Lepisosteus oculatus: one gene and its partners. The protein of the gene in region 2 purifies or fractionates together with the protein of the main gene of each other region. This does not show direct contact. Links are inferred from orthologs where the notes say so. Each region holds a gene or a part of one and is shown on either strand. Other genes may lie near its edges. The genes, in order: orc4, lrwd1 and orc5.

Region 1 (7,908 bases), on a different chromosome or scaffold from region 2:
GAATTCAAACTAGAAGTCAGTGTGTAAAAGGGAGCATAGAGGAATTGAAAGTGCTCACTGACACGCAAGACCTGACAGAGGCTTCATAGCAATAAAGGATTAGTGTCTCTCACCCAATTGATCATCTAATCCTCCTGGCCTGCAGTCACGCACTCTTCTATAGTTTCAGTGCGAAACAGGCACCCAGGCTGTCACCTGCGGGCGTGTCCCTCTGCTGCCCCGCCCACATTACCTGCACGTCTCACTCCAGACGTCGCAGCGGACGCTTGGCAAAGAAAAGCCTTGGTGGGGACAAAGGACAAAAGCTGCAGGAGGGGTGTCTGAGAGCTGGCTCTTTACATTCGTACCATGGACTTCCCTGCTCCCCTGGGGCCCACGATAAGGACAGAGTTGCTCTCTCCATGGACAGCCGTTCGCCTCAGCAGCTCCAGCAGGTGCCTGAAACAACGCAGCCCAGTGTCAGACGCCTCCACCCGTGTCCTTCGGCTAAGAAATGACACTTTCCGCAGCAGAAAGGCGGCCAGCCTGAGGTGCAATGCAAGCCTCACCGTGGGAGCGGAAAGCACCCTGGGAGAGTCCAGAGCAAGCGATAAACAAGTGCCATTGCCTGCTTTTGCAATCCATCCTCCTATTAAATCCCTTGGCTCACTTTCTAAGCAAGTGACAACTTGAAGGACCAATGTCAATTGCTACCATTAATAATCATGGCATTTTCTCCATGGGAATGAGGACACAACAACAGCACAGTTTGCAGTGGTGCTCCTCAAAATAGCTCAGACATAGACCCAATGGCTCTGATCTGCTGTTTCCCTTGCATATAACTACAAACTACATCACGGGCCGTGAAAATTCAAAATCATCAGCTATAAAAAGAGAAATTGTTTCTAGAAGGAAAAGGTAAGAAAAATACTGAGACAAAAACATCTAATATAAAGCAATTACAATTTTGTACATCTGTTTGTCCTTCACAGGTTAAAGACTTGACAACCTTACCCCGACAGACATAACTGCACTATTTATGATTAACGAGAGCAGGTAAAATTAAGTGTTATGCTACAGAACAGGCTGGCAGCAATGGTTAAACTTGGGGAATCGTATTCAGTGACCCAAGTGCTGTTTAAGCTCTTAGCGAGCTGAAGACACTCAAGCTCTTCAGGAAGCAAGGCATTTGAATACAGTCCAAGGGCAATCAAAACACTTACTCATACTGGGACTCCACTCCGAAGGGCTTGCTGGGGAGTTTCTGGTGACAGCACCTTTCCCTCAGTATTTTGTGAGCCTGAAAACGAGAAGAAAGCACGCGTTAAACTTCACAGCAACAAAGGGAGTCTTTATTGATTGGCAAACCATTCAAACAGATGAAATAGTAATAATATCGTATAAAAAATCACTTGTTCTTTTTTGTACGATTCACAATGTACAAATATTTATAAGAAAGAAAAGTGAGGTGAAACTGAAAAATTCAGTAATATAGCCGACAGAAAAAAGACAGACAGATATACGGGCATACAGATACATTATCTGGCTATTAATAGCCTCTATAAAGCAGAAAAAATCAAATGTATGTATTAAAATCAAAACATATTTTATATGTTGGAATACCTGGCAGGCACAGTAACAGCAACTGAGCAAAAACATAAAGGTTATAGTTTAGCAACTAATCCTATCCAACAGATTCACATATTCTGCAAGAAGGTTTTCATCTGTCAGGCACTAAGAAAATAAGTAAACAATTCCACTAGTATATAAAACAATCTACTGTCATGGGAAACGCATTTAATACAGAATGCAAAGTATACAATGAGTACTGAGAAACTAGCCTTCAGAAAATAAGGCAATAGAGCTAGATGCCCCTCAGGCCAAACTCAGAACAGAACACTCCGAACATCTTGAGCTGCAGCAGGTGGTAACTTCTAGAGCTCCATCGTTCTTACATTCTGATTATACAGCCTAACAACTAATCCTTGAGGATGTACTCTGACAAGATCAGACAAATTTAGCTTCTAAGAAGCAAAAAAAATACTTTAACTATGCAGAATTTCAGAAATACAAATAGTATTAAATGTACCCATTTTATCTGGTAAGATCCTCTGCGAATTTTTGATGCAGACAGCACAATCACAAGTAATACACAGACATCAGAGGATCACACTAACACAGATTTAGAACGGAGATTACACTTTGAAAAGTGCTGCGATTCGCATGGGCTTTTTCGAGTCAATTATCATTGTTAACAAAGAGGAACAGTGTGAATCTGCAATAATCACAGCAGAAACTAAGAATAAGAAAATAGATGAAGGGAAGTTAGTGTATCTGATGTAAGTCAAATTTCAACATTCTACTTGCAAGAACTTCTTTCAGATGCAAAGCTAGCATGACCTAAATACTGATCGCAGATAAGCGATCCTGCAGATAGAACTAATCTATGCAACACATGGTTTCACTTCATTCTTATCTTTCTGATCTACACAATCCCAATGTTTTGCGGGAGTCCAGATGTGTCAGACTAATCCTTAAATAATGTAGTGCCTACTCAAGAGGCTGCTTTATTTTCCTCACTTAACTGTTCTCTGGCTCGAACTCACCATACATTCAGATGAAGTCCCAGCAAAAACCTGTCCACCTATTTAAAATGGAAGAAACTGGTACCAACGGTAATTATCATCAATAAAAAATACAAACCTGAGAAATACATTCTCCCAGTGTTAAAGTGCTCTCTTTAGACTTTCTTTTACTCATGATGTCATAACCTTGGTGCCTAAAGAAGGAAAAAGACATTAGAGGTCAGCAGGCAGGCAAACTCCCTTCTGCAGGATAAACAGTGCAAATGGATACAGGCAAACTGACACCTCCGTCAGCGAAATGAGCACAGTGGTAAAACCTGCCTCCTCCAGAAAGTCAGGATTTCATCACGATGAGTACATTACATTCAGATGAATTACCAGGCTCTCACCTTGTCGACGACAAATATTTGTCTAGAACGAAAACTATATTGACTGACTTTTCAGATTTTAGATACAAAACAAAAGACGGTTATTGCTTGCTTGTGAGCTGCATTATTGTTAACCCGATTCTTGAACTGGACTCTATGGAAAAGTTATGAGCTGAAGAAGCTATCTTTGAGAGCCTAATCGAACACGTCGGCATGTCTGAAACGTGACTGCGCGTCTTTATCTTGAATTGTAATTACCAGCCCTTCGGTGCTGTGCTCCGACCTGCCAGTTGAAAAGTTGCACGAACCTGACTGCGCCAGACTTGCCTTCGCCTTCAATTATGCTTAACTAGGCATGACGTTACACTCTTGCCAGAACTGTTAAGCGGGCTGAAAATGTTTTAAACCTGGCAAACAGGGAAAACCCGTCTGGGTTGCAAAATACATGCAGGGTTTATTTCACATGCGCTACAATTCATTGGGAAGAACACAACCACCACACGGATACTGTGCTGTACGCAATGTTACCTTACAGTCTCCTCACTACAGCACCTCAACGGCAGGAGCCTGAGCGTGCTTTCATAGATGCTGCATAGCTCCCTCATCTAAAACGCATCCCGGACTCATTTCACAGGGAAAGGAAAGGCGGTGAACCTGAGAAACCGTGGATATATATAATTTTTTTACCTGTGACTTCTCGCTCAGTCCCTAAATCCCGACCATCCCTGCTCTTCCCGCAGTCACCCACCACCAGCACCTGCGATCACCTCTGAACTCTCAACCCGGCGCGTGACGTCAGCGGCGCCCTTCCGGCAGGCTCGCCCGTCGCTTCCGCTGGGTTTTACCGTGCATGCCGGGACACCCCTCTCCTCCGGGCCCCAAGCTGCGGCGCAGGCGCGCTGAAGAGCTCCATCTTTCTATCCCAACAAGCCCAGAGAGAGAGCCAGCAGCAGCAGTTGATGGGGAAGCTTTTTATTTTTATTTTTAAAGGGACAGAACCTCATTTTAACCAGCTCAAACCTTCCGTTTCGCCGCCCTTAGCCTCCCAGGAACTCAACGGGGGCAGGAAAAATGGAGGAAAAGGGTCTTAGGCCTTTATATTAAGGAGAACAATCCAGAAAGCCCTTTTCTCTGTCTCTTGCTTCTTCTTAGCAACACAACCCTCTCCTCTCCCTGTGTCTGTGCTTTGGCCCTGGCTGGAGACATTTCTGAGCAGAGACCTCTCAGTTCACACAGAGAATAAAAACTTCGCTATTTCTCGGTCACTCTGCCTGTAATTTCAATTTCTCTGGCGATGGAAGATAATCAGAGGTAGGTGCGCGTTTTTAATTCCTGGATATATTTTTTTGAAAAATGTTAAATTTCAGCTCCTGTTTGCCCTGAGTGTCTGAAAATGCATTTTATTTATGTGTTCTGGTGTTGGGGCTGTCTGTTCTGCAGAATATTGCTGTGAAGACTACACGCAGCCACAGATTATATTTAAATATTTTTTTCTTAAATGGTATTTTTTTTCCTTTGAACAGTCAAGGTGCATTTTGTTGAAGTTGGCAGGGGATGTGGACGCCTCCTTGAGATTTGGATTTTATCAAGCAAATTAAAATATCACGAAAAGCGGTAGATCGGTGTTCCCGTTACAATGTACCGAAGCCCTGCGTGATTAAATAACCTGGCTCAGGCCGACCGGGGCTTCGGGAGATCTCCTGGAAGCTTTCATCGGCCATATAAAAAGTTTAATTGTGAAGATAATGAAATTTAGCCCGGTTAAATGGTTTGTGTACATCCGAGTGGCCCCATACAGCACTGTTTCGCAGTTAGGTTGTCTACTTCTGAGTCATTGGATGCCATACCACCGGTTGTAAACGGGCACAGCTAATTCTGGATTAAAACCAGCCTGAGCCCTAGTCTCCTGACCGACACCTCGGCTGCCTGTATCTCAGGTATTTTTCAGCTGCTGCTCATTAAAACCTCTCATTAGCTGTCCACGGCGTTGTTTCTCCTTTTCATAGTTTCCAAATGCAAATATTGATGTTGTAAACGGCTGTCCTCTGCCGCCGCTCCAGCAGGACTTCACAGTGAAGGCGAGTTCCATGATGTGGATCAAGATGTTGCTGTTTTTTCTATGACATGACTTTTCTAGAGTTATTCTTGGCAGACTGTTTTTTTTTTATAATCCCTTCATGCAAGGTGCATGTGATGGATAAGCCATGTTAAATTGTGTGATTTGTGAGTTAGGCATGGCTCCTGTATGGTTTCTTATGCCCGGGTTGGTGAAAAAGAATTCCAAAGGAAAAATCGAAGCAAGTGGTTTAAATGTGAATGCAAATCGTACTACAAGAAGCTGTCTCATTCAGAAAATGAAGAGGTGTACCAACAACCCAATCAATAGCCTAGATATTTCTCTTCAGAACTTATTGATATAGTGTTGGCTTTTCCTATAAGAAGAGAAAGTTGGGTGATCTCACACCTACCGTCTGAAATTCAGCTAATGCTGTACCGAATACTGAACAGCGAAGGATCATTGACTATAATGAAAATGTGTGTGAGAGAGCAATTGTTTTACAGGTGTGTGCTCTCTGGGGGTAGACCTATATAAGACCATTCCCATAGACGCCATGTCCTTTAACATAATCAAACATTGTTCACCATTTATGTTATTGTTATTAATGATATTCACTTGCTTCGACAGCAGAACTATTAAAAACATAAAACATGACCTATTACGGCAGAGCAGCTGGGTACAATCATGGAGGTTAAGTTACAGCATCAATGCTTGGGCACACGTGAAATGTACTTCTGTGGAATTTCCCTCAGGAAAGTGGTAAACAGCTGTACAGGACGTTCGCATGTTTGTAAGTGTTTTGTATTCATTACTGCCTGCTTTTTCTTATATTAGTAGGTTGTTCAGTTTAGATGGCCATTTTCCTAATCCTGGAGATAAATAATGAATACTAAATATGTACTCGACTTTTATTTTTGACATCTGTTTTTCTGGAATCTCTTAGGTAGGTGGGTTTAAACTGTATCCATAGATTTTGGTCCTCTGGGCGCCTGTCGAGCTATAGTTGACAAAAACCTCAGTTTTTTCCCTTTCTGTATTTTTTTCATATATTTCGTGCCAGTCATATGGAAAGCATCTGAAAGCAAGGGACTGCCTTGCAATCAGTGTGATTCTTGGCTTAGCCTCACCTGGCCTTGTCAGTTAATAGACAGGGAAACACTGAAGTGCATCTGTACATGTGAGCCAAGCCATAGGCTGCAGTCAGTGTGTTCATAACTTGGATCACCGTACTGTCTCGCCATACGTATGATGCTGTGTACAGCTAGTGCACCCTGATGCTGAAGAAACGCGAGGGCTAGGTGCGGCGATGAGGATGCCTCTGTCCGAGGACAGGATGAGTCCTGCATGTTGGACAGGGGGTTCGTCATCTTTGTAAGGAAGCGGCGCTTGTCCCCAGAATCGGTTTCCACAATGAAAGGCATTTTGTGCCTCTTCTGCTTTATCGCTGTAGAAGGTCAAGGCCGCACCCAGTAATTATTTTCTTTAACATCTTCCCGCAGAGGTGCGAGGAGCTGGGTGTCTCCCAGCTGTTTTTGTGTATTTTTGCAGTGACTGTGGGCTGTGCCTTGTGTGATGAAGAGCAGCCGAGATACACTACTGTCTGTGTGGCATAGAATCAGCTGCTCAGGTTTCCTCCTGTGATTCATCTTCCAGATTTAAGATCCTCTGCACCCACATATTTCACATTTTGATCAACCTTTATTGAGAGCGGGGATTAGAGTCTGCGTTAGGTTTATATTCAAAGGGCTATTTTTCTTCTTTTCTTTTAGCCTGGACTGTAAAATTTCCACACTCCCAGTGCAGCTGTTAAGGCAGATGCCGTCCTTGCTGGCTTGTAGCGCCATGTACTGCTGCTGGTAGATCAGCAACATTTATTGGGGTGTCATTTACAGCCCTCTGTCACAGTCATACACAGTGTTCCACTTAGATTTCATATTGGGGCGCTTTACGACAGCTCAGCGCATTCCGTTTTTTCTCTGACTGAACCCATTGGCAGTGGTGGTTGCCATTGAGTTCTCTTGGTACTATGGGAAGCTGACTTTAATTTCATCCTTTTGTGGAATTTGAAATTAATGATTTTGTATGATATGTCTGATTATAATTCTATGTAATAGAAAGCAAGACTGTTTTAAGAAATTGGAAGTAGCCAGATTTGTCAGAAAACCTACAGGGTAATCTGTGTATTTATCTGTGTATCATGGCAAAATTCACTCAGAATTGTATTCACATGTTGTTGTGATATTGTGACAATTTTAGCTTATTTTAAGATGGTTCACAGCGGTAAAAAATAAAAACACTGGTTTCAAAATATTCAGCAGACCTAAACAGATTTTGATCCAGCATCCGTTTCTGTATGGTAGCTTTTGTTTGATGTGCTTATTGTCAAGGTATATTCCTTCCTTTTTTTTAAATTACAGTAATTAAATTGTGTGTTTCAAATACTTTCAAAGTTAAATTCCTGGGGAAGGACAAGTATGGATCTTTATGTACATCTACCATTCATTCCTAATGTGAAGAATTGGGAAGAGAAGATCGGCGTCCCACTGTTTGAAGTCCTTGGAAAGAGCTTTTTGAGCTGCACGGCTGATAAAAGCTTCTCGGAGCCCAGGTCCTGCAGGTGTGAATCTATTAGCCGACTGTGACCAGAACTTGTGGCTCGGGTTCTGCAGGGGAGGCCAGTAGGTTTGAAGTCAATGAGCTGAGTGGACGACAGTGACCCCTTTGGCTGGCGGGGGGCAGGCGGGCCTACAGGGCCTCGTAATCTCCACCTGAGACCTTAGCTGTGCCGTTCGTGCTGTAAGGCTCCTGGTACTCGCTGGTCTCAGGACGTGCACACGTGATGTTTCTACCTTTCCTATCCCAGTACACGGCTTGTGCCAGTGAGCAAATTCAATTAACCAATGGTAGTATATAAAAG
Region 2 (7,845 bases):
GGGAGGTAAGGGGACCGGAGTAATGGCCACTCTGAACAACCTTGGGGTTCGTGCTTTTTCGGGGTGTCCTCTTCTCGCTCTCCGCTGGCTGGGGGTTTGTGGGAGCTTTGGTAGGGGTCCCAGGATGCCGGGAAAGCGCTGAGGGTTTTTGGCAGTTGGCGGTACGAAGGCTCTTCCGTGGACTTCCCGAAACCGACTCTTTCCCGGGACTCTCCATCGTCCTCTTGGGCCGGCCCGGCTCCGTCTGCAAGCGGGATGGTTTTTGGGGGCTGGCTTTGGGGGGGGCGTCATCAGCCTGTCGCTGTTTTTTGAGGGCCCCCTCGCTGGGACTGGAGGCAGCACCCTTCCTCTTCGCAGGGGTGCGGGGGCCCTTGGATCAAACACACAATGAAACACGGGTTCAATTTTCAAGACCCTAAAAGAAGCGTCATCCCAAAATAATGGAACCCTCTGAAGTTCTCTCTTGCGTTTACAGCCTTAAAGAACATTCGCCCAGATGAACAAAAGGAAGCACAGTGCTGCTGTGGGCAGCATTGCTGCTGCGCAGTGCTGGGGCTCTGGGTTCAATTCCAGACCTGAGGTGCTATCTGTGTGGAGTTTGCATGTTCTTCCCAGGTTTGTGTGGGTTCTCTCTGGATGCTCCAGTTTCCTCCCACAGTCTACAGCCATGCCTATTCTGGGAGAATTGGCCCTGGTGTGTGTGTGTCCGTGTGTCCTGTCTTTCACCCCTTGCTTGCTGGGATAGGCTCTGCTGATTGGGAATCAGTGCTTAGAAAAGGATGGATGGGTAAATTGCTCTGTTAGAAGTACTGCATAAAACAATACTTTTACAAGACATAAAACAAGACTCTTACAGCGCCTGTGTTGTCTTTTACGGCGTCTGGCTCAGCCTGCTTTTTCTCGGTTCCCTCCTCCTTGTCCCCCTGTGCCAGCGTCTGCAGCAGCTCTTTAGCAATCCCCTCCAGCTGGAAGACACAACAGGCACAGCGAGGACTGAGAAATCCGGATACGAATGAACCCCCAGGACCCCCTGGCTGTGAGTAACTGCATTTGCCCAACTCTCGATCACAAAGCTCCTTTCACTTCGAAGGCAACACACAGGGGTGACACACAGCAGCCAGGTCCAGGGGAGGAGGGAGAAACTGCCACACGAATTAAGGCAGATCTTTAGGGAAGACCTGATTTTCCACGTTTTTCAAGTTGAATGATTTTAGTTAGCTTCTAAAAAACAGAATTTGGCCATACGAGCGAGGGGACAAAACAAACACAAATTACACACCTGTAAGTTTCTTGCTCTTTTGAACAGTGCCATGGGATCTTTAAAGTTTTTAACGTTTGCCATGGGATCTTGTGGTTCTGAAGACCAGTGTTCGCAGTCTCCATACTGGGGCACTGGACTGGAAAATTACTATTCCAGGAGGAAGTGCGTCAACCACTTGTCCTCCAACAGCACCACTTAGAACATCAGTCTGCTTTACCTTAGAGGTCTCCCGTTTCAGCCCAGCCTTCCTGAGCTCCTCACATCTGGCAAGACCACAGTCATCTCGTAAGAGCGAAAGTATTCCCAGTAGTTTTACTGCACAGCATCTCCAAGACCTCTTCTACACCTTCAAAGCTAGAGCTCACAAAAGGCAGGAAACCCAAGCTGTGCCGAATGCAAGCCACTCACCCGCCAGGTGGTGTAGTCGCTGAGGGAGCTGGGGCCGTATTTGATCTGCGAGCGGGCTGCCTTCACAAACTCCTTCTCCAGGGCCTGGAGCCTCTCGGCTGTGGGAGGCTCCGGCGGCCGGAAGCTGCTCTCCCACAGTGCCTCCACCTGAGGCGAGGAGAAGACCTGAGACACCTTTTCCACAGACAGACACACAAACCGATCGATTCTTGCAAACGGCCCTTCAGAAACATCCAGGAATCCATGTATGGTTTGCAGGAACCTGTAAGGACTTAACACTGCCCAACACCCTCCCTCCCGAGAGCTGATTTCAGACTCCCCCGTTGTGCTTCGAGACGCTTACCCGTTTCCGAAGATTCGCGCTGTTGACGTGGCGCAGGTGACTGGCCGAGGAAGCGACGTCCTTGCCGTTGAACATGCGCAGTTTGGGCAGCAGGAACATCAGTTTGTAATTGTCGCTGACCTGAGACAAACACACAGCAGGCTCTGGTAATCTGCTTTCTCATCCAGACATGGCCATACACCGAGGTGTGTAAAAGCCTTTTAACTTTGCAGACATTTATCTATTATTGTTGTGCTCCCCCCCCATTTGCAATGGAGATAGTTTTAAAACACACAACATTTACATTACCTACTTTTCCTGAAATATACTACATAAAAAAGTATGTTTTACTGATTCAGATTTAACTGAATGAGATTTAGATTAGTTGCAGGGTACGGCAGAAGCAGTGCTGTTTAACGGGTTTGTATGAGCACGTGTCTGTGTGTGACCATGACCGCGCTGGAGCCTTACAGTGAGGTACAGGTTTCCCTCCAGCCTCAGCTCTTCCAGGGCAGTGAGAGACTGCAGTGACAGCACGTCCTCCATCTCATTGTCGGAGCAGTCGAGGGAGCACAGGCGGGGCAGCTGCAGACCGGCGGGCAGCTCCTGCAGACGGTTCCTGGAGAGGTCCAGCTTCTCCAGGCTGCGCAGCCGAGACAGCAGAGGCAGGGGCAGGTCCGCACTGCGCAGATCCAGCCCGGAAAGGCTGTGGGGACGAGCAGGGGGTCAGGCCCAGGAACACCCACACCTCCATACGCACAGTGGGGTCTGAAAGCATTTCTGCAACACTGGGCCACAGGACTCTTTTTTATTCGTCTTATACAAATCTTTTAATAACAAATGGAGTAATTGTTGGACCCAATCAGACAAGTATGTAAACAATTTTCAAGTGTTTACTAATTTAGAAAATGACCAATAAACTGGTAGGAGTGGGGCTACGCTGGAACTGCATTGATCTCCCCACTGTTGCAAAACAAATCACATGGAGCAATTAAACTGCTTATGGAATCAAACATTATCATCCCGTAAAAACTTAGACCACAGGTTGGGAATTTCAAGGCTGTGACCTTATAGTAAATTACCCTATTTTAGTTTTGTTCTAAACAAGTAGCACTGTGCTACTTGTAGTAAGATGCATAAATACTTTTTTTGTTTTCCCTCAAAACAGCGTTGTGGCCCGCAGGTTTAAAAAACCCTGGAACAGCCCAAACTGCCTGGCAGTGGGAGCGCTGGAGAGAGGGGGAAACAGACACCTGGCCAGAGCAGACACTTACTTCAGCCTCCTGACCTGCTCCAGCTTGGCGCATTTGGGGGAGCCCCTCTCCAGCAGGAGCTTCTCCGTGATCTTCGACATGGCCGGTCCAGCACAGCTCGCAGTCGCCTGCACAGACACGGACAGCACGGCCGTGTGAGTCCTCACCCCTCCGCCTATGGGCACCACTGCGCTAGGGCGGAGCTGCACCCGGGTGCGTGACGCCCACTAGAGGCCGGGGCCCCAGAGACGTGGGGACAAAGCGAGAGATCACCTCATAACAAAAGAGCCAGAGGGAACTCTAAAGGTGTTTTCAGGTTTAAATTAAAGGCTTTAAAAAAGGGGCGTGAAACCATATTTTTCTTTTTCGCGAAAGTCGTTAAAGTCAGCCCTAACGCAGGGTGCTTAAAAAAAGAACACCTCTCGACCAACTTTGCATCTCAAAAGCCGGGTGCCCAAGCTGTAGGAAATGTGACTGCAGAAGAAGAAGAAATGAAACACGCCCCCAATGAGAAGAATACAGGGACATTATCTTCACTTTAAATTACAAAAGGCACCGCTTAGTCGTTTCGTTTCGACTACGGCTTTTCGCAATCAACCCCAAAAATTAGCCCCTGCTGTGATGAAACTCGCAAAAGGACTATGGCGAGACCGATCACATACTGTATATAATACTACTGCATCTGCGAGAAACTTCGCGATATTAAAGTTATCTTCATTAAACTGTCAGACATCTAATGCACTTTACAGTTAATTGATATGCACATGATTTTATGAACAGACTGAAAGACCCATTTCTTTGAAGCAAATGTGCTGTGCGTGAAACATTAATTTGCGTGTATACATAAAATAGGCATCTCAAAACTTCCGCCAGTAGCACTTCATGAATACCCCTAAGCACCGGCGACGATTTCAATTCCAAGAAAAAAAAAATACACAATGAGTATCATCTGCCCATTCCATCACCAAACACGTTTCAGTCACTCATACTTTCAAAAAATGATTGATTGGTTTAACAATGTCAGATTCCGGATAAGAGACACACCAGTTGAACGATTCGATGATTACAAAGGTTAAAGCAGCGAATTAAAAAAAGGCAAGAGGCTTTGCAGGAATGTGATAAACTTACTTTCCAGCTGTAGACGTGCAAAAGTTTCCCGGGAAAATTAAACTTTCACCTTTGACCCGGACCGATGACGACACCTAGCACAGCAGTTCCGCCATTTTGTGTGTGGCAAAGACGTACATGAGGTCACATGGTTTAACCCGAGGGGGAAAATGAAATAAGAATCGTATCTTTTTTATCAACTAATTTGCAGTGCTTTATTTTTCTGTTTGATTGCATGATATTGACGGCAATTAATTTGCTTTTCCTGCTCTTTCTAATTATATTCAATAACGACAAAATGTTTAAACGTAAGAAAAGCTGCAAACGAGGTCGCCAACCGTAAATTTGTCCTGCATCCTGAAGAAGCCAGAGTTTGGGCTTCAACCACTCTGCTGGGAGATCTGTTCCAGACACAGACAACTCTGTACGCAAAGAAGCATTTAGTATTTTTCTTAAACTACTTCCTTTCAGTTTCCATCTGTGAGCCAGTGCGTCTTAAAAATAATTACAACACCCACTAATATAATTACTTAAACTACGTACAACCTTACACATGAACTATACACCTTTCTCAACGAACATAATGGAGAACAAAGCCTCAGGCCACCTCCAAAAGCAGGAACATGAACATCACAGCACAAAAAACTGGGATCTATCTGTCTGTTGTGCAGTAATCACTCCAGGTCTGACCTCCTCATGCAGCAGTGAAGTGGTCATAGCCACACTTGAAATTTCTGTGTTTCACCATTCAGCATCCTGTTCCTCTACAACGTTTAGTTTTACCAAACAAAATACCACATTCCTCAGAAGGCGAAGACTCCCTCAAACCACCGCGTGCACGTAGGCTCCATATCCACCACGGGACGTTCAGACAGAACACTGATTCATCTCAGACCTCAAATCAACAGTTTAATAAATACAGTCAAGCACGTACAAACAGCTGAACACAATTTCTTTCAGAATCAAGCTGAGACAACAGAAGAGAGGGATCTCAGCTAAGCACATGGAATATCTTCTCGGGGAGATCCGAACACCTGGGCCACACACCCCTGGGCTCCAGGCCAGAAGGTTTCCGCCCCAGCTGGACTCCCAGGGCCTGCTACACTGGGATCCCCTGAAAGCTGAGGGCTACGTCCAGCAGCTGAGAGCCGAGGTTCTCCTGCTCCCCCCCGGACAGGAACTCCGCAGACAGCTCCCGGAAGGTCACGCAGACCCGGCGGTCCCGAATGTCCTGCCTGCGGACCGCGTGCTCCCACTGGTGCCGCGCCTCCCCGTACAGCGCCAGCAGGGCCCGGCGGGGCAGGGGCACCAGCACCCACACGCCCCCCGCCCCCGCCCGCTCCCGGCTCATGGTGAGCACCGTGGGGGACAGCAGGTTGAGGGTGACCAGGCGCTCGCCCCACAGCCAGGCGTCGTCCAGGTGGGGGTCGATGGCGGAGCCGCGCTGGGGGCTGTAGTCCAGGTTGCACTGCTCCACGGGCTGGAAGCCCCCCAGCAGCGGCGCCCGGCCCATCCTGCGCACCAGCTCCCGGCTGCACGGGGGCAGGCCGCTGAAGCCCCCCAGTCTCACCCGCCGCTTCTTGAAGTTCACCTTGGGCCCGAAGTCCTGGGGGGGAGGAGCACAGTCACTGGGGCACCACAGAACGATGGTCTGACGGTGCGGAAAGACACGTCTCTTATAAAACCCCACACGACGCAGAGACTGGGGAAAGATGCTTGCGGAAATATCAACGATTTTCTGAGATTTAAACTGGACCCTAGAAATCTGCTTCTGGACGAACAGCAGAGGCAGAAAAGTGCCCCTTGGGTAACGTCTGAATCGCAGGCCTGAACCAAATCACCAGAAACCAGTCGAAGCTGGACAGACCTAGCGTTCAGATGTTGAAGATCTCTAGGAACGAAATCTATCTCATGGAAAGAAATACCCACAGAATTAGCCATCAATTTGTAAAAAGATCATCAAAACTGGAAAGCTATGTTGAGACTCTCAGTCATGTGATAGGAACAAAGATGCAACAGACTATACAAATGATGTAAAAAGTAATTCAACACTGTCTGCTTCTTTTTTATGTATGTGGGAAAAAATAATATCATTAGCCCCCGCATAATGACAATAAAGGATGTAAAAAAGCAGATGCAGGGTTTTTCCATGAATCAGCTGTGCATGTCGTTTCCTGGAGAGTGCTGTTCATTTAGAGAAGCACTCGTCGCTGGGGGAAAGAGCACACGGAGAAAAGACACGAGTCACCGAGCGCCTCTCCTGCTACCGGACCTGTTTCCTGCGGCCGGACTGCGAGTCCCTCCAGGCGTCCCGGTCCATCGCGCTCACCAGCTCCTGCTCCTCCGCCTCCGACACGAAGTTCTCCCACAGCAGGACCCCGGGGAACGGGAAGGACTCCTGGACTCCTGGAGCCTCCGCTCTCACCGCCAGCCCCGAGGACGGCTCGTACACGAAGACCCGGCGCGGCTGTGTGGCCAGAGAAACCGCCATGATGTTCACACCTTGCACGGCTCGCTCACGACCTGCCGCAGGGCCTTACCGCCACGCAGCGACACGTGACACGTGCGCATACAAACCCAGACAAACACAAATCCCCCTTTAATGCTGTGCTATACATCTTAACACCTTCACGAGTAAAACAAGAATGTTTAGGAATATTTAAGAGTCTTCTAAAGGAGGAGAGGGGTAATCTGAGAACAGCACCAACAGAGTGCTGGAGACCGTCGGGGAATCCAATCTCTTCAGGCATTTTTTATCAGGGGAAAACAACAGCAAAAAAAGAATTCAGAAAGTGCTTTACAACTCTGCAGTCAGGAACTGTCCAGCTACTATAGTATAAAGATCTATTTTATGGCCCCATCTGCTGGGGATTGTGTCCAAATCCAGTTCCCCAGGATTCTATCCAAAAATTGCTTTAATAAATACAAGTATCCCAACAATAATGATGCTGAATAGAAAACAAAGAATCACATGGAAAAAAGCTGCATCTCAAAGCATTATACAGCACATCAGTTTGCTGTTTCCATTTATTAATGAAAAATTGTGCAAATATAACTTTTCAGATCTTCTCTTAACTGTAGGGTGAACTGCATTTACCAGATGGTGGTCTATATTTTCAGATGATTGATAATGGAGTGTATTATTTAGTCATGAATGTATCGAGTACATTAAAAAGGGGGTAAAGTCTTTTTTTACCATTCGGACTGAAAGCATTCTTAAATGGATTAGTTGTATACAATCCCACAGCTCATTTTTTAAGGTATCCTTGTAGCGGCGAATGTAATGATCAAAACAAAGTAGAGATTCTGAAACTTGATTTTACAGTTTAAATAATGCCAAAGAGCGAAATCTGGTGTATGAAACTTCTCAGTACACGTACAGTGTGACATCGTACCTGCTGTACATTAATCCGGTTGTCCAGTTTCCCATTGCGATTTTCACAGATCAGACAGGAGCGGATTCCTTTACAGGCACAGTTGGCTTGTAACACTTC
Region 3 (8,335 bases), on a different chromosome or scaffold from region 2:
GAGAAAATCTGGCCAGGACACTACTATCAACACCTCTGCTATTTTTGAGAAACACCCTGGGATTTTTAAAGACCACAGAGAGTCAGAACCTCAGTTTTACATCTCACCAGAAGGACAGCATTTGTTTGTGGGGCGTTAGTACCCACACAGACTGCATGGTGAGTGCCCTCTGGTCTCCCATCCAGGTACTGGCCAGGCTCACACCTGCTTAGTTACAGTTAGTTACAGGAAAAGTCTAGTTGAAGTCATTTCTGCTGAAGGATGATCTAACAGTTGTTGATATTAAGGGTTTAACAAACGTCTTCACTGTTGGATCTGTTGGATCATTTATTATCTCCAAATACTGTGTATATTTTGTCCTTGTGTTATACATTTAATCAGGTTATCTTGATCCTTTATTAAGACTTTCATGAAGATCTAATTATGTTTTAGGTCTATATCATTGTAACGTCCCAGTGTGTGTTCTGTGTGTGTTTTTTTCTGTTATGTCCACACTGCTGACCCTTGATTATTCTCCCTTCCCCATTGGCCCACCATTACACCACACTTTCAGTATGATGTCATCATCAATTAGCTCTCAGCCAATCAGAACACATCTTATTCAGCCTATAACATGGAGGTTTTCAGCAAGGAGAGGCCTTTTGTTTGACTTTGGTCCCGTTTGCTTCTGGTTATTGCTTCGGCTTTGTTTGTTTGTTGGTTTGTTTTGCTTTGTGTGTGTATTTTCGTATTAGCTTCGGCTTTGTTGTTTTGTTGGTTTTTTGTTAGTTTCTTTGTGCTTTTGTTTGTGTGTGTTCATCCTTGTTTTGCCATTACCTTGCCCCACTGTTACATGTTCAACTTTTGTGTTCTTTTGTACCCTGCTCCTGTTGATTACTCTTGTTTTCCCTTATTTCTATTCCTGGTTCACTTGTGTTTTTGTGTGAACTTTTGTATATAAGGTTAGTTTAGGTTGTTGGGTACACTTTACACACTCGGTTGATTTTGTATTAGTACACTAGTTTCGTACGGGTGAGTGCCATTTGTCTTGTATGGTTTTGGGTAGTCAGTTAGCTAGGGTGTTGAAGACGCCGAAGACCGTGTTTTGGGTTTTCTTTTGTAGTCCGATTAGCTTTCCCTCACTGTCCTAGCCAGCTCCATTTTGTTTATTATTTTCTTTCCTTTGGCACCACTTTAGTTGCTTACCCTTGTTATCACGCTTCCTAATCCCTCACCAAAACCCACCTGCTTCCAAAAGAATTATCCTAAATGTTACACCCCTTTACCCCTAGACACTTGGGGTCGTAGCAATCATACATGGGAATGCGTGTCTGTGTATAGGCCCACTGACTGGGATTCACAATCTTTTTCCCAGCACTGCATCGAAAGCCCAGCTACCTCTCATTATCTTTAAATCAACATAACTCACACTCATGTCATTTTCTCATTTGTGTCAGAATATGCCCACACAGCCATGGATGAAAGACTTAGTCAATGACCAACAGGATTTTCACACAGGGTAGCCTTTTTATGGTTTTGAAAAGTCTTTTTGAGGAGGCCCCCTCAGCGGGTTTCCCGGATGAGTCAGTGGAAATTCACCTCTGTTTGGGTGTGAGGAAGAGAGAGGCCAGCTGGCGTAGGTTCAACCTGGATTCCTGCACACCATTCCTGTAAGGGGAGCTGGTCCAGGCTCCCGTGAAGCATAGTTCAGGACCCTATGCAGACGGTATGATCCGGAAGTAACTGGAGAAGGACAGCAGGGAAAAGACGTTGAGGATCTGGAGAATGGACTGGAGTAGAGGACAATGGGATGGAACTGAATGTTGGGGCGTTAAAGAATAAAACGCATCTCAACCCTAATATTTGTTTTTTAGGGAACATCCCACCCTTCTGTGCACGCAGCTTGACAGCTCCTGACTTTCACACGGTGAGATTCAGAGATTCAATCTCTATTGTCTATTGCACAGCTACGCCTTTACTGAGAAAACCCCCCGGCGCAGAGGAGAGAGGCTGAAGCAGCATAAACGCCAGTGAAGCGGCAGCCGTCTGGAACTTGCAAGGGACAGCAAGGCTGTACCCCTCAGCTGCAGGGTGCGTTTACTGGGCTCCGGATCGCTCTCGTTTCCCAGTCCTCAATGGTGCGGCAGTATGATGTATACAAATCCAGAGTCGTCATTTATTATCCTATCCATCCTACCAATGTGGAAAATCACCCGCTGGATCTTTGCCATCTGGATCCCAGAGGTGTCCCCTGCGCCCACAGGGGGAGAAGGAGGCAGTACAAAGGGCTCCCCTACCCTGCATCGCCCCCTGCTAGGCTGTTCCTTGATTCACATCCTCTGAGTCAGAGGGCAACTCATCTTCTTGCAACCAGTTGCTCTGACAAGCTCTGTTCGGTGGCTCTGGTTCACAGTGGAGCTCCTCGGATACTCATGGGGTTTCTAAGTTTTTTTTTTTCCTCAGTGGAACCTTTTTCCTCCCATGTGCTGAAAGAAGCCGTGGAATTTCGAAGGCACGTCTTTCGCAAGAGCAAGGGGTGGTACAGTCCGCAAGAGAAATTACATTTTTTTAATCCAGCACTTGCACTGCAGAGGAACATCATTTAATGACGGGCAACAGTTGAGCACATTGTGCTCTGGGCTGAAAAGCAATAGACGCCCCCTCCAGCTGCTCTAAGTCTCTGGATCCTGAAAGGCTCTGACAAAATCAAGTCAACCCAGCAGGTCTCTTCGAAATTCCCAAAGGAGTGTGGGAGTTCTGAAAGAAATGAGTCTTTTTACTCCTGAATGGAGAAGACTACAAGGGGACCTGTTCCGCGTGTTCAGTTTTTTCAGCCTGGCGCAGAAGGACATAACTTTAATTCCAGAAATGTATTAGGCGGATCTTCTCTGGACTGATTCAGAGCAGCCATATCTAATTTGTAAGGGGGCAGCCAAAATTGTACACAGTATTCTAAATGGGGCCTAATTAGTGCATTGTACAATTAGGCCAAAGCTTGTCGCTAGACGTCTACAGCCTCTCTCTCACAGCACATGAGCAGCTTGCTGGCTCCACAACAAAGTCTCCATCTGAGACTCTTCTCAGCTCTCACAGGTTCAAGTCAGCAGCTATATCATCCTGCAACTCACAACTGGCAGTGCACTAAAGCTCAGTACGTATGAGCCTGACAGTACCTGGATGGGAGACCTCCTGAGAAAAACTAAGGTTGCTGTTGGAAGAGGTGTTAGTGAGACCAGTGGGGGGCGCTCACCCTGCGGTCTGTGTGGGTCCTAATGCCCCAGTATAGTGATGGAGGCACTATACTGTAAAAAAGGCTCTGTCCTTTGGATGAGATGTAAAACCAAGGTCCTGACTCTCTGTGGTCAGTAAAAATCCCAAGAGTAGGGGTGTAACCCTGGCGTCCTGGCCAAATTTCCCATTGGCCCTTACCAATCATGGCATCCTAATAATCCCCATCTATGAATTGGCTCATCACTCTGCTCTCTTCCCTACTGAGAGCTGGTGTGTGGGGAGTGTACTGGAGCACTATGGCTGCAGTCATAATCAAGGTGGGGCTGCACACTGGTGGAGGGGAGCCCCCATTACCTGTAAAGAGCTTTGAGTGGAGTGTCCAGAAGAGCGCTGCGTAAGTGTGAGGAATTATTCATTATTATCATTCTGTCTAGGCAACCGTGGGGGCAGCTGGTTTGGACCCCATGCAAGACCGCAGCAGAGTAATCCTGGGAAAAGTTCCAAATTAGTTACCAAATCCAAGAAACGTCAAGCGATGCCGTAGATCCAGGGATAGAGCAAGAACTTCAAGAGCCGAGAAAGACGATAAGGTTTAGAGTATTCATCCAAAGGGAAAAGCGGGAAGCTCAGCAGTGAGCGGAGTGAGAGGGTGTAAGTAGGGAGGAGTGTGTGTGGAATGATAATTGATTAATTAGTGCAAGGAGAGAGGCGCTCGTGGGTATGCGGTGACGTCGAAGTGCTCATGTGCGGTTCATGGCAGCTTTCTTCTGGCCAGTTTCCTCCACTTTGAACTTTGAACCCCTGGAGCAGGGGAAATTGTTGCCTTTATTTCATATAGTGCCTTTTGTGACCGTCACAGTTCCTGCACAGGAATGCTTGATGCCCTCCGCCACCCGTTTCGGCCTGCAACACCTGGGGCGCGAACCTGGGTCTCCGGCGTAACGCCACAGGGAACCAGCCGCATGAGCTAAAGGGGACCTCCCTCAGCCCAGGCTGCTGAGGTCCCTGCTACGCGCAGGGAGGGCGATGACGTCACCGTGTCCGAACTAGCTCCGCTACACTTTCATGGTGCATAATCTCAAAGCGCCGGTGTTTTCTCAGCCCTTTGTCTCTCATGGAGTTAACTCTCAAATCGCTGAGGTCCAAGGAGTAAAATGCTCTGAACAATATTGGACTTTAAAGTACTTAAAAAATCAGCATAGATCCGTGACACGATTCCCTTTGATGTTGTATCACTATAATAAGTCAATCCCTGCAAACTGTTGTCTGTTTTTTAGTATCAACCAAGATTTTCCAAATACTATATCCTTTTATTTTTATCCAAATCTACTTGATGAAACAGTGTACCTTTCAATTTGGTTTTCTGTATATATAATATCTATTACATAAACAAGGATATATGTCCTACAGTTCATTATTTTATATTAATACAGTGCAGTATGAAGTCATCTCTACAAGCATGCGTTCTCTGGGAATTTGTCAGCTGTCTTTGGGTCGTTCCAAGCATATCCTAAGGAAAGACTACAAATCCCAGAAGGCCAAGCAGCCCGTGGCCTCCAGACGAGCTCTGATTGGCCACTTTTCTGTTGTCATGTGACAGGAAGGAATTTGAGCTCTAACCTCGGCGTGGCGCGAAAGCATGTAGCAGCAGGGAGACACTGGGGGAATTGCTGAGAGATCAGGTGCAGTATGTGACGTTGTTTTGTTTGACTGAGCAATATTAGCTCGTCCAAACGTGGTGCATAAAAGCTTCGATACTGCCACATTATGTTATCACTTAATAATTCAGCAAAGCCCTTTGCTATTTAAGAATTTGTTAGTATAATTTAAAGAAACACCGTTAGATTCGGTGAGCAGAGACTTCGGCTCTGCAGAATAGCTACAACGGGAAGCGAGACCGTAAAGAGCTCAGCTTGTATGCTGGCGGTACCGCACTCGCTCCTGGGACAGTGGTTCCCTGTGTGAGAGCCGTGACAGCCGAGTCGGCGCAGGAGTTTACTGTCGGGTCCGAGTCAAAAACCGGAGAGGCAGGGACAGAACCAGTGGTGCAACTGAGCTCACCGTTAGCGCTATGATATGGCGGTCTAGCAGACAAACAGGGTTTCTGTGACGGGTGTCTGTGTGTGCGCTGGAACCGCAGAGGTCTCCGCTGGTGTGATCTAAATGTTTCGGCTGCACTGTAGCACTCCTGCCTTTCCGATACAGTAAAACGGAGCTGAGTTCATTTCCACCAGTCTGTGCACCGGCGTTTCGGCGTTACTGATCAGAGCTCCATCGACAGCAGTGCGTCAGTACAGTGCGTCTCCCTTTCAGTAAGCAGCCTGATGTAAACTCACTTGTTTGAGCGGTCAGTAATGAGTATTAATATGCTAGTATATTATCTTAGACGTAATCGTATATAAAGGACGCCTGCTGTTTTCCACATCCAGTACGCTGAGACTCTCTGAGTCAACGTGTCTGTGATGCTCACTCAAAAACCTTCAGCTCTCCAGCTGGTCTTTTTTACGCTTGTTCTATACAGCTTCTAAAAGGAGCAGAAATGTATAAAGACAACAGCTACTGTATATCACCCTGTACCTCACACCTGGAAGCCCCTTGAAGCTCCGCAGGTGTGAGCCTGGTCAGTACCTGGATGGGGGACTCCTGGGAAAGCTGAGGTTGATACTGGAAGTGGTGCTAGTGGGCCAGTAGGGGGAGCTCACTCTGCAGTCTGCGTGGGTCCTAATGCCCCAGTATAGTGATGGGAACACTATACTGTAAAAAAAAAGGCTTCATCCTTGGGATGAGACATAACACAGGTCGTGACTCTCCATAGGTCACGAAAAATCTCGGGGCTTTGCTGAAAAAGGGTAGGGGTGTTAATTCTGGAGTCCTGGCCAAATTCCCCCCTGGCCTTTACCAGTCGTGGCCTCCTAATAATCCCCATCTGTGAACGGGCTCATCACTCTGCTCTTCTCCCCACTGAGAGCTGGTGTGTGGGGAGTGTACTGGTGCACTATGGGTGCCGTCACATCTTCCAGGGCTGTACATATGGCGGTATAGCTCTTTCGGCGGAGTGTCTGGAAGAGTGTTTTAGAAGTGTACGGATTATGCTGTGGATGATCAAGGAGTCACCTGGGCTTCACCGTGAGTGGACCGCAGTTCTGGTGGGGTCCAGTAGGGGGCGCAGTCTCCACACTGGAGAGCAGTAAGGGCCGTGGGAATAAAGGGTGGAGGCGGGGGAGCTGGGGTTTGTAGTCTCCCCCCCGTGTGGCCGCCTCCCGTGTCCAGTGTGTCCTCACCGCCGCGGGCCCCTCTGCCCCCTGTCTGTCCCTGCAGGATGCAGGCCCAGCTGCAGCACCCTGGCTACCCGGCGGCGCGCCTGCAGGTGGCGGAGGAGGCCGTGCCCTGCCGAGAGGCGCAGGCGGCCGCGCTGCTGGCGCTGTTCGGGGAGGTGAGAGGATTGGGTGGCGTGTGCGTGTGCGTGTGCGTGTGCGTGTGCGTGTGCGTGTGCGTGTGCGTGTGCGTGTGCGTGTGCGACTGGCGCGTGGCCTGCGTGCCGGGGTCTGGGCAGGGCGGGGCAGGTGTCGATCAGCGCCGGCCCTCAGCCCCTCTTCCTCCCTGTCCTGTCCCTGCAGCCCGAGCACTACAGCTACCCCTCCCTCTTCCTCTACGGACACCGGGCGACTGGGAAGAGCCACGTCACGCTCACCCTGCTCCGAGAGCTGCAGGTAGGCCCGGGGCGCCGCCGGGGCGGCTGGGTTTGGGCGGGGAAGGCCTGCACTGGGATGGGGCTTGGGCAGGGGCAGGGGTGGCCAGGGTGGGGTAGGGGCAGCTAGCCAGGGCCTGGGGCAGAGACAGGGGCTGGGGTGGCCAGGGTGGGGTAGGGGCAGCTGGCCTGGGCCTGGGGCAGAGTCAGGGGCAGGGGTAGGGGTGGCCAGGGTGGGGTAGGGGCAGCTGGCCTGGGCCTGGGGCAGAGACAGGGCCTGGGGTGGCCAGGATGGGGTAGGGGCAGCTGGCCTGGGCCTGGGGCAGAGACAGGGCCTGGGGTGGCCAGGATGGGGTAGGGGCAGCTGGCCTGGGCCTGGGGCAGAGACAGGGGCTGGGGTGGCCAGGGTGGGGTAGGGGCAGCTGGCCTGAGTCTGGGGCGGGGGCAGGGGTGGGTGGCTGGGGTGGGGTAGGGGCAGCTGGCCTGAGTCTGGGGCGGGGGCAGGGGTGGGTGGCTGGGGTGGGGTAGGGGCAGCTGGCCTGAGTCTGGGGCGGGGGCAGGGTCAGGGGTGGGTGGCCTGGGTCTGGGGCAGAGACAGGGGCAGGGCCAGTCTGTGCCCAGCTCACTGTCTCTCTCCTACAAATCAACGTTTAAAGTCCAGGAAAGGTCATCGGCAGGACTGGCCAGGCACAGTGTCATCACAGGACAGCGTATGCAATTAAACTGGAGTTTGCATGAACAATACAATGAATATACTTCTGATCTTCTCATTTGTCCTGAAACAAGTGCACGTCCACATATCCGCTGTGTGCACCTAATTGTGGGTCGCCATACGTGTGAACATGTGCAGTGCCCTCCAGAAGTACTGGGACAGCAAGGTGTCTGGTATTGTTGCTTACGGTCGGGCCATTTCTATTTGTGATCTCAAGATGGAAATGAATAAGTGCAATCTGAATTTACACTTCAGTTTAAAAACGCGTACGTGTTGGGGGCACACTTTGCTCTACGTACGTTCCACAGTGGAAAGTCAGGGTGTGAACGTGGCGGTTCTGCGTGGGCTCGTGCCCTCTGCCACCCGTTCCGTCCCGCAGCACCTGGGGCGCGAACCCGGGTCACCAGCGAAACGCAACAGAGAACCAGCAGCCATATCACCCTGTAACTCACAGCTGGCAGCCCACTGAAGCTCAGCAGGTGTGAGCCTGGTCAGTACCTGGATGGGAGACTCCTGGGAAAAACTAAGGTTGCTGCTGGAGGAGGTGTTAGTGGGGCCAGCAGGGGGCGCTCACCCTGCGGTCCATGTGGGTCCTAATGCCCCAGTATAGTAAACAGGCGCCGTCCATCGGATGAGACGTAAAACCGAGGTCCTGACTCTCTGTGGTCATTAAAAATCCCAGGGTGTTTCTCGAAAAGAGTAGGGGTGTAACCCCGGCGTCCTGG

Evidence for each region.
Region 1: the proteins of lrwd1 (region 2) and orc4 purify together in Homo sapiens (affinity purification with mass spectrometry; 3 studies listed by BioGRID and IntAct, with this or other methods). This does not show direct contact. The link is inferred for Lepisosteus oculatus from reciprocal best matches to the Homo sapiens genes LRWD1 and ORC4.
Region 3: the proteins of lrwd1 (region 2) and orc5 purify together in Homo sapiens (affinity purification with mass spectrometry; 4 studies listed by BioGRID and IntAct, with this or other methods). This does not show direct contact. The link is inferred for Lepisosteus oculatus from reciprocal best matches to the Homo sapiens genes LRWD1 and ORC5.

What each region holds. Positions count from the first base shown.
Region 1 is NC_090707.1:2,791,430-2,799,337, forward strand, and holds the start of orc4 (origin recognition complex subunit 4), read right to left. Parts: upstream 3,736-7,908; 5' UTR 3,620-3,735; intron 2,759-3,619; 5' UTR 2,740-2,758; coding exon 2,683-2,739; intron 1,280-2,682; coding exon 1,203-1,279; intron 439-1,202; coding exon 348-438; intron 340-347; exon of another isoform or gene 126-339; coding exon of another isoform or gene 114-125; intron 1-113. UniProt on the Homo sapiens protein: Component of the origin recognition complex (ORC) that binds origins of replication. DNA-binding is ATP-dependent. The specific DNA sequences that define origins of replication have not been identified yet.
Region 2 is NC_090721.1:1,366,145-1,373,989, forward strand, and holds the start of lrwd1 (leucine-rich repeat and WD repeat-containing protein 1), read right to left. Parts: upstream 3,352-7,845; 5' UTR 3,346-3,351; coding exon 3,266-3,345; intron 2,698-3,265; coding exon 2,463-2,697; intron 2,133-2,462; coding exon 2,013-2,132; intron 1,817-2,012; coding exon 1,670-1,816; intron 966-1,669; coding exon 855-965; intron 371-854; coding exon 41-370; intron 1-40. Other genes in the region: alkbh4 (alpha-ketoglutarate-dependent dioxygenase alkB homolog 4), read right to left, coding at 5,451-5,957, 6,624-6,818, 7,747-7,845. UniProt on the Homo sapiens protein: Required for G1/S transition. Recruits and stabilizes the origin recognition complex (ORC) onto chromatin during G1 to establish pre-replication complex (preRC) and to heterochromatic sites in post-replicated cells.
Region 3 is NC_090702.1:48,312,014-48,320,348, forward strand, and holds the start of orc5 (origin recognition complex subunit 5), read left to right. Parts: upstream 1-4,825; 5' UTR 4,826-4,892; exon of another isoform or gene 4,893-4,897; intron 4,898-6,528; 5' UTR 6,529-6,529; coding exon 6,530-6,643; intron 6,644-6,827; coding exon 6,828-6,920; intron 6,921-8,335. UniProt on the Homo sapiens protein: Component of the origin recognition complex (ORC) that binds origins of replication. DNA-binding is ATP-dependent. The specific DNA sequences that define origins of replication have not been identified yet.